2 linked regions of the Mus musculus genome follow. The protein of the gene in region 1 interacts with the protein of each later gene in a pairwise test. Links are inferred from orthologs where the notes say so. Each region holds a gene or a part of one and is shown on either strand. Other genes may lie near its edges.

Evidence for each region.
Region 2: the proteins of L3mbtl3 (region 1) and Plekhf1 interact in binary tests that used the Homo sapiens proteins (3 or more experiments, as listed by UniProt). The two-hybrid records come from large-scale screens. The link is inferred for Mus musculus from reciprocal best matches to the Homo sapiens genes L3MBTL3 and PLEKHF1.

What each region holds. Positions count from the first base shown.
Region 1 is NC_000076.6:26,273,715-26,277,083, forward strand, and holds the end of L3mbtl3 (lethal(3)malignant brain tumor-like protein 3), read right to left. Parts: intron 2,550-3,369; coding exon 2,406-2,549; 3' UTR 754-2,405; downstream 1-753. UniProt on the Homo sapiens protein: Is a negative regulator of Notch target genes expression, required for RBPJ-mediated transcriptional repression. It recruits KDM1A to Notch-responsive elements and promotes KDM1A-mediated H3K4me demethylation.
Region 2 is NC_000073.6:38,225,009-38,229,327, forward strand, and holds the start of Plekhf1 (pleckstrin homology domain-containing family F member 1), read right to left. Parts: upstream 2,987-4,319; 5' UTR 2,933-2,986; intron 1-2,932. UniProt on the Homo sapiens protein: May induce apoptosis through the lysosomal-mitochondrial pathway. Translocates to the lysosome initiating the permeabilization of lysosomal membrane (LMP) and resulting in the release of CTSD and CTSL to the cytoplasm.

The sequences.
Region 1 (3,369 bases):
AGTCATTAGATTGCTACATTGTCCTCCAGCCACATACACCTTCTTTGTGGTTTGTGTACTTGTTCATGTTTGTATATATATATATATATATATGCACACCAGGGATCCATTTCCAGTATCACTGTGTCTTCCTGTATGACTACTCTCTCCACCAATTCCCTTAAAACAAACAAACAAACAAGAAACCAAACCACCAAGTATGAGTGTTTGCCTGCATGTATGCCTGTGCACCATGCACGTGCCTAAGGCATGTGGAGGCCAGAAGAGGGGATTGCATCTCCTTGAACCAGTCACTGGTAGCTGTGGGCTGCCATGTAGGTGCTGAAAATTGAGCAAGTACTTTTAACCAGTGAGCTATTTCTCTAGCCTCACTATCTTAATGTCTTTTGAGGCATGGCTTCTCACTAAACTTGAAGCTCATGATGCCGTGAGGATCCCTGGCCAATGAACCTCACTGGGGTAACAGGTACACTTGGTTCTTCTATGGGTGCTAGAGCTACAAACTCAGAGCCTCATGCTATTGTGACAGGCACTTTAGCAATTGAGGCATCTCCCCAGTCCTACAGTATCTTTAACATGTTATTTATTTGTTGTTGCTTTGTAGGCAAGCAGATCAAACCTTGCCAGGTAGGTATTCTAATACTAAAATATAACCAAGCCTTACATAACTTTTGTTAGATATGATTTTGTTCCTGTTTTTTTAACCTCTCCTATTTAATAACCTCCTTAAAAATCATACATATATAAAAAGAATCTGCAATTAAGATTTTATTTCATTCATATCACATGTAACAAGTGCAAGTTAATGTACAAATACTGACCACAACAAAGAAGGGGGAGTAACAATAAAAAGCTTACTTAGCAGATTCATGCAGAGAAATGAAGAAAGAGGACATTGCAGATGTCACGGACCCTGTTTACCTTGAATCATGACAAATGCAAAGGACTCCAACTATGGCACATCAAAGGAAGTCCTACATCAGAAAAACATTAAAGAGTTCATGGAAAGAGGTGGGACTTTCCCCCAGAGTTCTGACAGCATGCTACTAAACTTTATATTTTTAAATCAGTCCTTGAGTAAATGTCTAATTGTGGAATTAGAAAGTACATCCAAAGACTGACAAAATATTTTACCTTCCCCTTAGGAGGACACGCTTACAAACAAAACACTGCCAGCTATGAGTTTATAAATAACCATGGGCTCTCATTTAAAGTGCATTCAGATGCTTAGAAATCAAGGCAAAATATTTCATAGGAAAAGGACTCTTTCATCATCGGAGGTTCCCGAGTAATGGCTTTGGGAACCACTTTCTCAATCTGTGAGCGTGGCAAATTCTGCGGCTGCTGGTTACGAGGGTCACAGCAGGCCTGTGCAGTCAGGTGCTCACTCTGCTTCTCAGCTCACTCTGAGGAAATCCTCTGGGCCTAGAGGACCTGTGGCACGGATGGGAGCTCTTGGAGGATTAGTGTTTCCAGCAACAAGTGAGTCCTCTTCGGTACAGCACCAGCAACTTCCACGTCATTTACAGAGATGCACACAAGAACTTCACAGATCAAATTCCTCGTCAACATCCCTTGGGATGTGTAACTGCACAATCCTCTAATGCCAACTGCTGGAAACACATGGGCACCACGATGTACAAAATTGATTCTGTCCCGATACGCTACTTCCTTCAAATCTAAGTAGGTTTATATAGTTTATTCTTCAACTCCACTCTTTTATATACATTTTTTTTTGGTAATAATAATAGTAAAGATGCTGGTGAAAAGTACTTTAACAATTCATGATGCGTGCAAAAGTAAAAATGTGGATTCAAAGAAAGGTCGTATTTACAATTCTTCAGTCCCAACAGAGGATGACACACAGTTAGGCAATATCGTGACTCACAACATTACACTTGGCTAATGCTGCAATTCCAAATATGGCACAGGGCGAACATGACTGACACCAGTCCGAGGCTTAACCCAGCCAGGTTCAAAGGATTTGGTTTAGGTTGATATTCAGTTATATAAAAAGGTTTCTGAAAGTATTGAAAAAAAGAAGGTGTACATGAAAGAGACTCCGACAATGTTTACAAAATGCCAAAAGTTCTGATTGTGCCCCATCCATAAATAAAGAAGCCTCCTTCCCCCACCCTCCTCCCACATCCAAAAAAGGTAAGTTTACAAAGGTAAGTTTAGCTCAGTGAGCGGAACCAAAAGGTGACTGTTGTTGGACAGTTGCTGGTAAGAAGCTCAGGCATTTCCTAAGAATGCATATGCAGCTGGACGGACAGATGGAGCCCTGGAGTGCTGCTCCGGTGAATTCTGAAGACTTCTCACTTGGGAGCTAGAGCTGTCCTTGTGCTTTGAAGGAACATAATGAGCTATAAAGCAGAAGCCAATGGTGCCAGAATTCACCGTCTTCACAGTTCATTGTGGGAATTCTTCTCCGCAGCTTTGAACATCAGAATAGAGTTGAAAATTTTGAGAGCTGGGCCCAGCTTAATGCTCATGATTTTAACAATGTCTGTTTGGGTCATGAGTAAAAATGCTTCTCCATCAATTTGCTGAAATAAAGGGGGGAAAAAACAGAGGAGTGTGGATTAACCAGAGGGAGTATTGTGAGACTATTCCAAGCTTTATGCTGTATTATCAGCTGAATTCTATACAGCAATACTAACACAGCATACACAGGAGCTCTTAAACACAACATCCCCGATCCATGGGTCTTTCTTACCTAAAACCACACATCCAGCATTGTAAAGCTCAGTTATCTGAAACTGCAGTCCACAGAAGAAGGGAAAGTGGTCACATTTTCTTATAACTTAAAATTGTGTGTGTGTGTGTGTGTGTGTGTGTGTGTGTGTGTGTGAGAGAGAGAGAGAGAGAGAGAGAGAGAGAGAGAGAGAGAGGCCAGAGTTCAGTTACACATGTCAACCTCTCTAGCTTTCCACCTTATTCTCTGAGACAGTGTATCTTACTGAACCTGGAGCTTGCCGTTCCAGCTCAACTCTCTAGCCAGAAAGTTACAGCGATCCCACACCTATTTCTCAGTGCTGGTTTTACAGTTATGCACTGCCACGCTTGAATTTCTATGGGAGTTGTGGGGACCCAAAGGTCATAATATTTACTCTGCAAACACTTCATGAACCAAACCACCTTCCTATCCCCAAACCTTCTTGTGTTCTCCTCAATTAGGTACTGAGTCATTCATATATATATATATATATATATATATATATATATATATATATATAGTTTGTTTTGTTTGTTTGATTTAAGTTACAGAAGATTACAATGTTTTTGGACACAAAATAATTTGGGCAAAGAACTAGTTACACATGAATACCTAACAAATTTAGCACTCCACCATGAAGGAAAGCAGTG
Region 2 (4,319 bases), on another chromosome or scaffold:
GAAGTCAGCCTGGAGGAGACACCGAACCTCTTCAGTCCTGTTTCGCTCCCCCCCTTCAGGCCTCAGGGCTGCCCACACCACCTGATGTAACTATTTTTAGTTAGCTGATCTTGGCTTCAAACTTTGTTCTGCCACCTGATCATCAGTTCTTGGCTGAGGGACAATACAACAAACCCAAATGTGCCAGCATGCTACCTCCAAGGCCACCAGGCACTGTGCTGGAGGCCAATGTGGATAACATCTCACTGTGAGGAGGCCAGAGAGGCCCAGGGGCAGGAAGCCCAAAGGCGCAGTGGCGTAAGGATAGCAGGGTCAACTGAAACTCTTAGGAGCGGAGGGAAAGGACGAGGAGCAATGTCTCAGCTCACTTGCTGTTCTTCCTGAGGCCAGCATCTGGATCCCAGTACCCGCATCGGGTGGCCACAACTGCCTGTTAACTCCAGCTCCAGGGGACTAACACATTCATCTGGCCTCCGAGACATTCACATACATGTGGCCTTCAGTCATACAGACCCATGAATAAAAATAAAAATAAAAATGAATTAAAACAAAACAAAACAAAAAAACCAACAACAAACCCCCAAAAGCCCAGGTCCGGCCGAAGTGAGCATCTCTAGGTTGGCACATACAACTGAATGTCACTCAAGCAGAAACCACACAAGGTTTCAAACCGTTAAAGAAGCCCATCTAAACTGGAGGAGATCTCATACCCATTGGAAAGTTCCTAGCAAAGAAATTCCAGTTGGTGCCAGAGTGGAAAAGTGGGAAGAGTGTGTACTGCTGCTGGGGATGTAAACTGTCACAGCCACAGGCTTGGGGGACGGCTCAGTGGCTCTCCATACGCTTGCACAGACCCAGCCACCAGTAACTCACAGCCCCCAGTAACTCCAGTTCCAAGGGTATCTGCATACGTGTAGTGCACAGACATAGAAACACTCATAAAATTAACAAATACATCTTGAGGGAAAAAAAAAAAACGACATAGATACGATGGGAAACAACCTGAAGACTCCGCAAAACATTAAAAATACATTTACCATATACCTACCTTTCCCACTGTGCATCTATCTCCAAAGGGATTGGAAGGGATAGCTATACTCTTGTGTGTGTTTACTAGAGCCAAGAGGCAGAAGCAAACCAAATGCCCAGCACCGAGGAACACATAGTCAACGAGAAGGACTGGTGATCTACAACCAGAAACTAAAAATCCAGACCCATTATGAGCCACTGCCAGGCTTCCTAAATGCAACCTTAGTGAAATACAACCACACTCAGACTAACACAATCTAACATGTATTTACTCTCTGGCCCCTTACTGGTAAAATGCACAAGACACCTTGCGTGTGGATGTGGCTCACAACAATATGGGTTCTGTCCTGATGCAAGTCCTCAAGCCCTCTTGCTCACTGCAGTACAGCCCTTAAGAGAGGTCTGGGGCCCTGAACTCAGGAAGGAGTGAGGTACGGGAGTAAGAGGTAAGGTTACAAGGGGCAGGCAGGGCCTGTCTTGCAGGTCCACAGGCCAGTGTGAGCATTCCAGAGTTATTACAAGGGTACTAAGGGAGTGGCACCACCCAACAGAGTCACTGAGACCTTCTAGAATCTTCCTCCAGGAGAACAGATTAAGGAAAATAAACCCTTAGGTGCTACTTTCTTAGCACCCACTGTTTGCTAGACACAATGTTAATTAAGCACAAAGCATGGCTGTAACTCCGTGCCCATGAGCCACTTCACAGTCACCACCCAAGAACCTCAGGAGTGGGCCCAGCTTCCAGATAAACTCTGAGCCAAGGTAGAAAAACTTTGGCCCAGAGGGCATTCCTATAATCTAGCATCTGGTAAGATTAGATAGGAAGGTAGAGAGTTGTAGGTCAATCTGGACTATACAAGGAGACCTTATCTCAAAAAAAGCAAAATCTTTTGGGTAACCTGGTGTTTGTGGCCATGTCCTATCCCGGGAATTCACATGATGAAAAGGAGACAATAACTTCTGAAACTTTTGGCCCTAGTAAACAAAACAACACGCCCCCACCCCCCCAAAAAACAAACAAACAAACAAACAAACAAACAACAACAACAAAAAAAACATGCCCTGGGTCAGAAGTTCTTAAAATCCAGAGTGTGTAGTCTTTCCTACTGCCTGACTTTGGTGTCTTTCACCGCATAACACACAGGGTAGTCAGTCCCATCCCGCAGGCCACAATGCCAAACCCCTCCTTCCTTGGCGGGACAGGGTTGGCCAGGTCCCAGTGCTCAGACAACTAACTGGCCTAGCCACTCTGAGCAGCTCTGAGGGCTGACGTGGGCAGGACGCACAGCAAATGAAGCACTTCAGCTTACAAAAACCGCAGGGGTCTTGACTCTAGCACTGATCGCCCCTCCTCTGCAGCCTCTGACCGGGTAGAATCTGATACCGGTTTTGTTCACATTCTAAGGACTGCGCCCTCTCCGGGGAGTGCACACATTCCACTGAGACTTGGAACTGCCGGTTTCCCTCCTGCTAAGGCCTGGGGACACCTCTTTATTGTACTTCAGTTACTCCCTAGGAGAATCCAGGCCCGGTCCCACACCAATAACTTCCTATATGAAGAGTCGCGAACTCAAACTCTTCAGGGTCCCAAATCCGAGGCTATTGAGAACCGTCCCTCCCAACCCAAGACGTCTCTGGCCAAGACGAGGTTCCCGGAACATCACGGGATAAGGAGAGGGTAGAGACTCTGCGGAGAACCCTTCTCCAACTCGCGCACAGTCCTGGGACTCAGTGGCCCTAGAGTCCCAGCTGTCAACCCCTTCCCAAGTCAGAAAACAGCGAGCAGCCTCTGCTCCAGTGGAGCCCCAGATGCGGGTTCCTGAGGCCACCTCTACCCACAGCTGCAGACCTGGCAGGGTGGAGGGCGGAAGGGGAGCGCTCTCCCCCTCCGTAGCCTGCTTACCTCCCGTAGGAACCTCCGCGTCCGCACAGCCAGTCCCGAACTGGCGCCCGCCAATCCCTGCGCCGCCCACGCCTCCGGGTTCCAATTCTCTGGTCACGCCCCTTCGAGGGACTCTGGACCAATCGAAGCCCTGGCACGCAGGCGGGGGCGGAGCCGGCCCGAGTTCTCCAGAAATGTGCGCGGGCGTAATTAAACCGCTGGACCGTAAACGGGTCAGCAGCGGTTGTGCGTGGGGACGATGGGCTGATTCCTGGTTGGAGTCCGGTTCCCAGCTTTGCTGGTCGCCACACTCAAGACTGAGTCGGCGCTGGTCAGAGGAACAGCCTGTGAGGGAAGCAGGCATGACGGAGTGGTGGGCCCTCAGGTGCCCCTGTTACTATGATGTTACTCTTTTCAGCCACAGAGACACACGTTTTCTTAACGATCAACAGAACTTTATAATTTTTTTCCTAGAGGAAAATGTCAAAAGTACACGGGAGGAAATTAGTTTAGTGGACCCCAGGCATTCATCGTGTAGATCCAAGACGAACAGGTACCCCGCCCTGGCTACTGGTGTCACTTAGAACTCAATTCCAAGGCTGCTTTCCCATCTCACCTGCCCCCACGCAATTCTCATCCACTGTCTTCTGGTTCCTTAAAAACCACTCCCACCCTTCGCCCTCTCCCTCCTTTGTCATTTCAGTGTCACCTCCTCAGAGAGGTCTCCTTGGCCACAAAGCAGCAGTTCTCAACTCCATCCATTTTTTATTGTCTTGTTACCCCTGGCTGACCAGAAATTCTATATGTAGACTAGGCTATCCCTGAACTCATAGAAGCCTTGCCTCTGTCTCTAGACTGCTGGGCTAATATTAGTCTATAGTGTCAGTTTGTGTTGCTAAACTGGTTACATTGAAGAGGGACTAGCTCTGGTTAGCCTGGTACCCGCTGGGCCAAGACCAAACTGGGTTTGGAAGGGGATGGTGTGGCCCTCTGGTGATGGTGTTAGGGGCAGACCCTTCCCTAAACTGTCCCTTAATCCCTACCATCCCCCACATCCTTACCCCACCAGCGCTTATTGATATTTCTTTTAGGTTTGAAGTTTGTTTAATCATTTACAAAATGCACTGCTGTGAATATTTCAGATGGGGAGAAGACACATAAAAATAGAGACTTTTAGCCCCCCCTCCAGTAAACTCACAATCTCAAGTTCTAGAGAAGTACTCCACCAGTGAGATATTATATCTCCAGCCCTGACTTTAGCTCATCTTTAATCATAAGATTTAGGGATCTGGGTGTCATATGCCTGTGATCTCAGCACGCAGGAGGCTGAGGCAGGAGGATGGAGTTTGAGGGCAGCCTGAGCTACATAATGAGACCTTGTCTCAGTCAGTCAATCAAGGATTTGGCA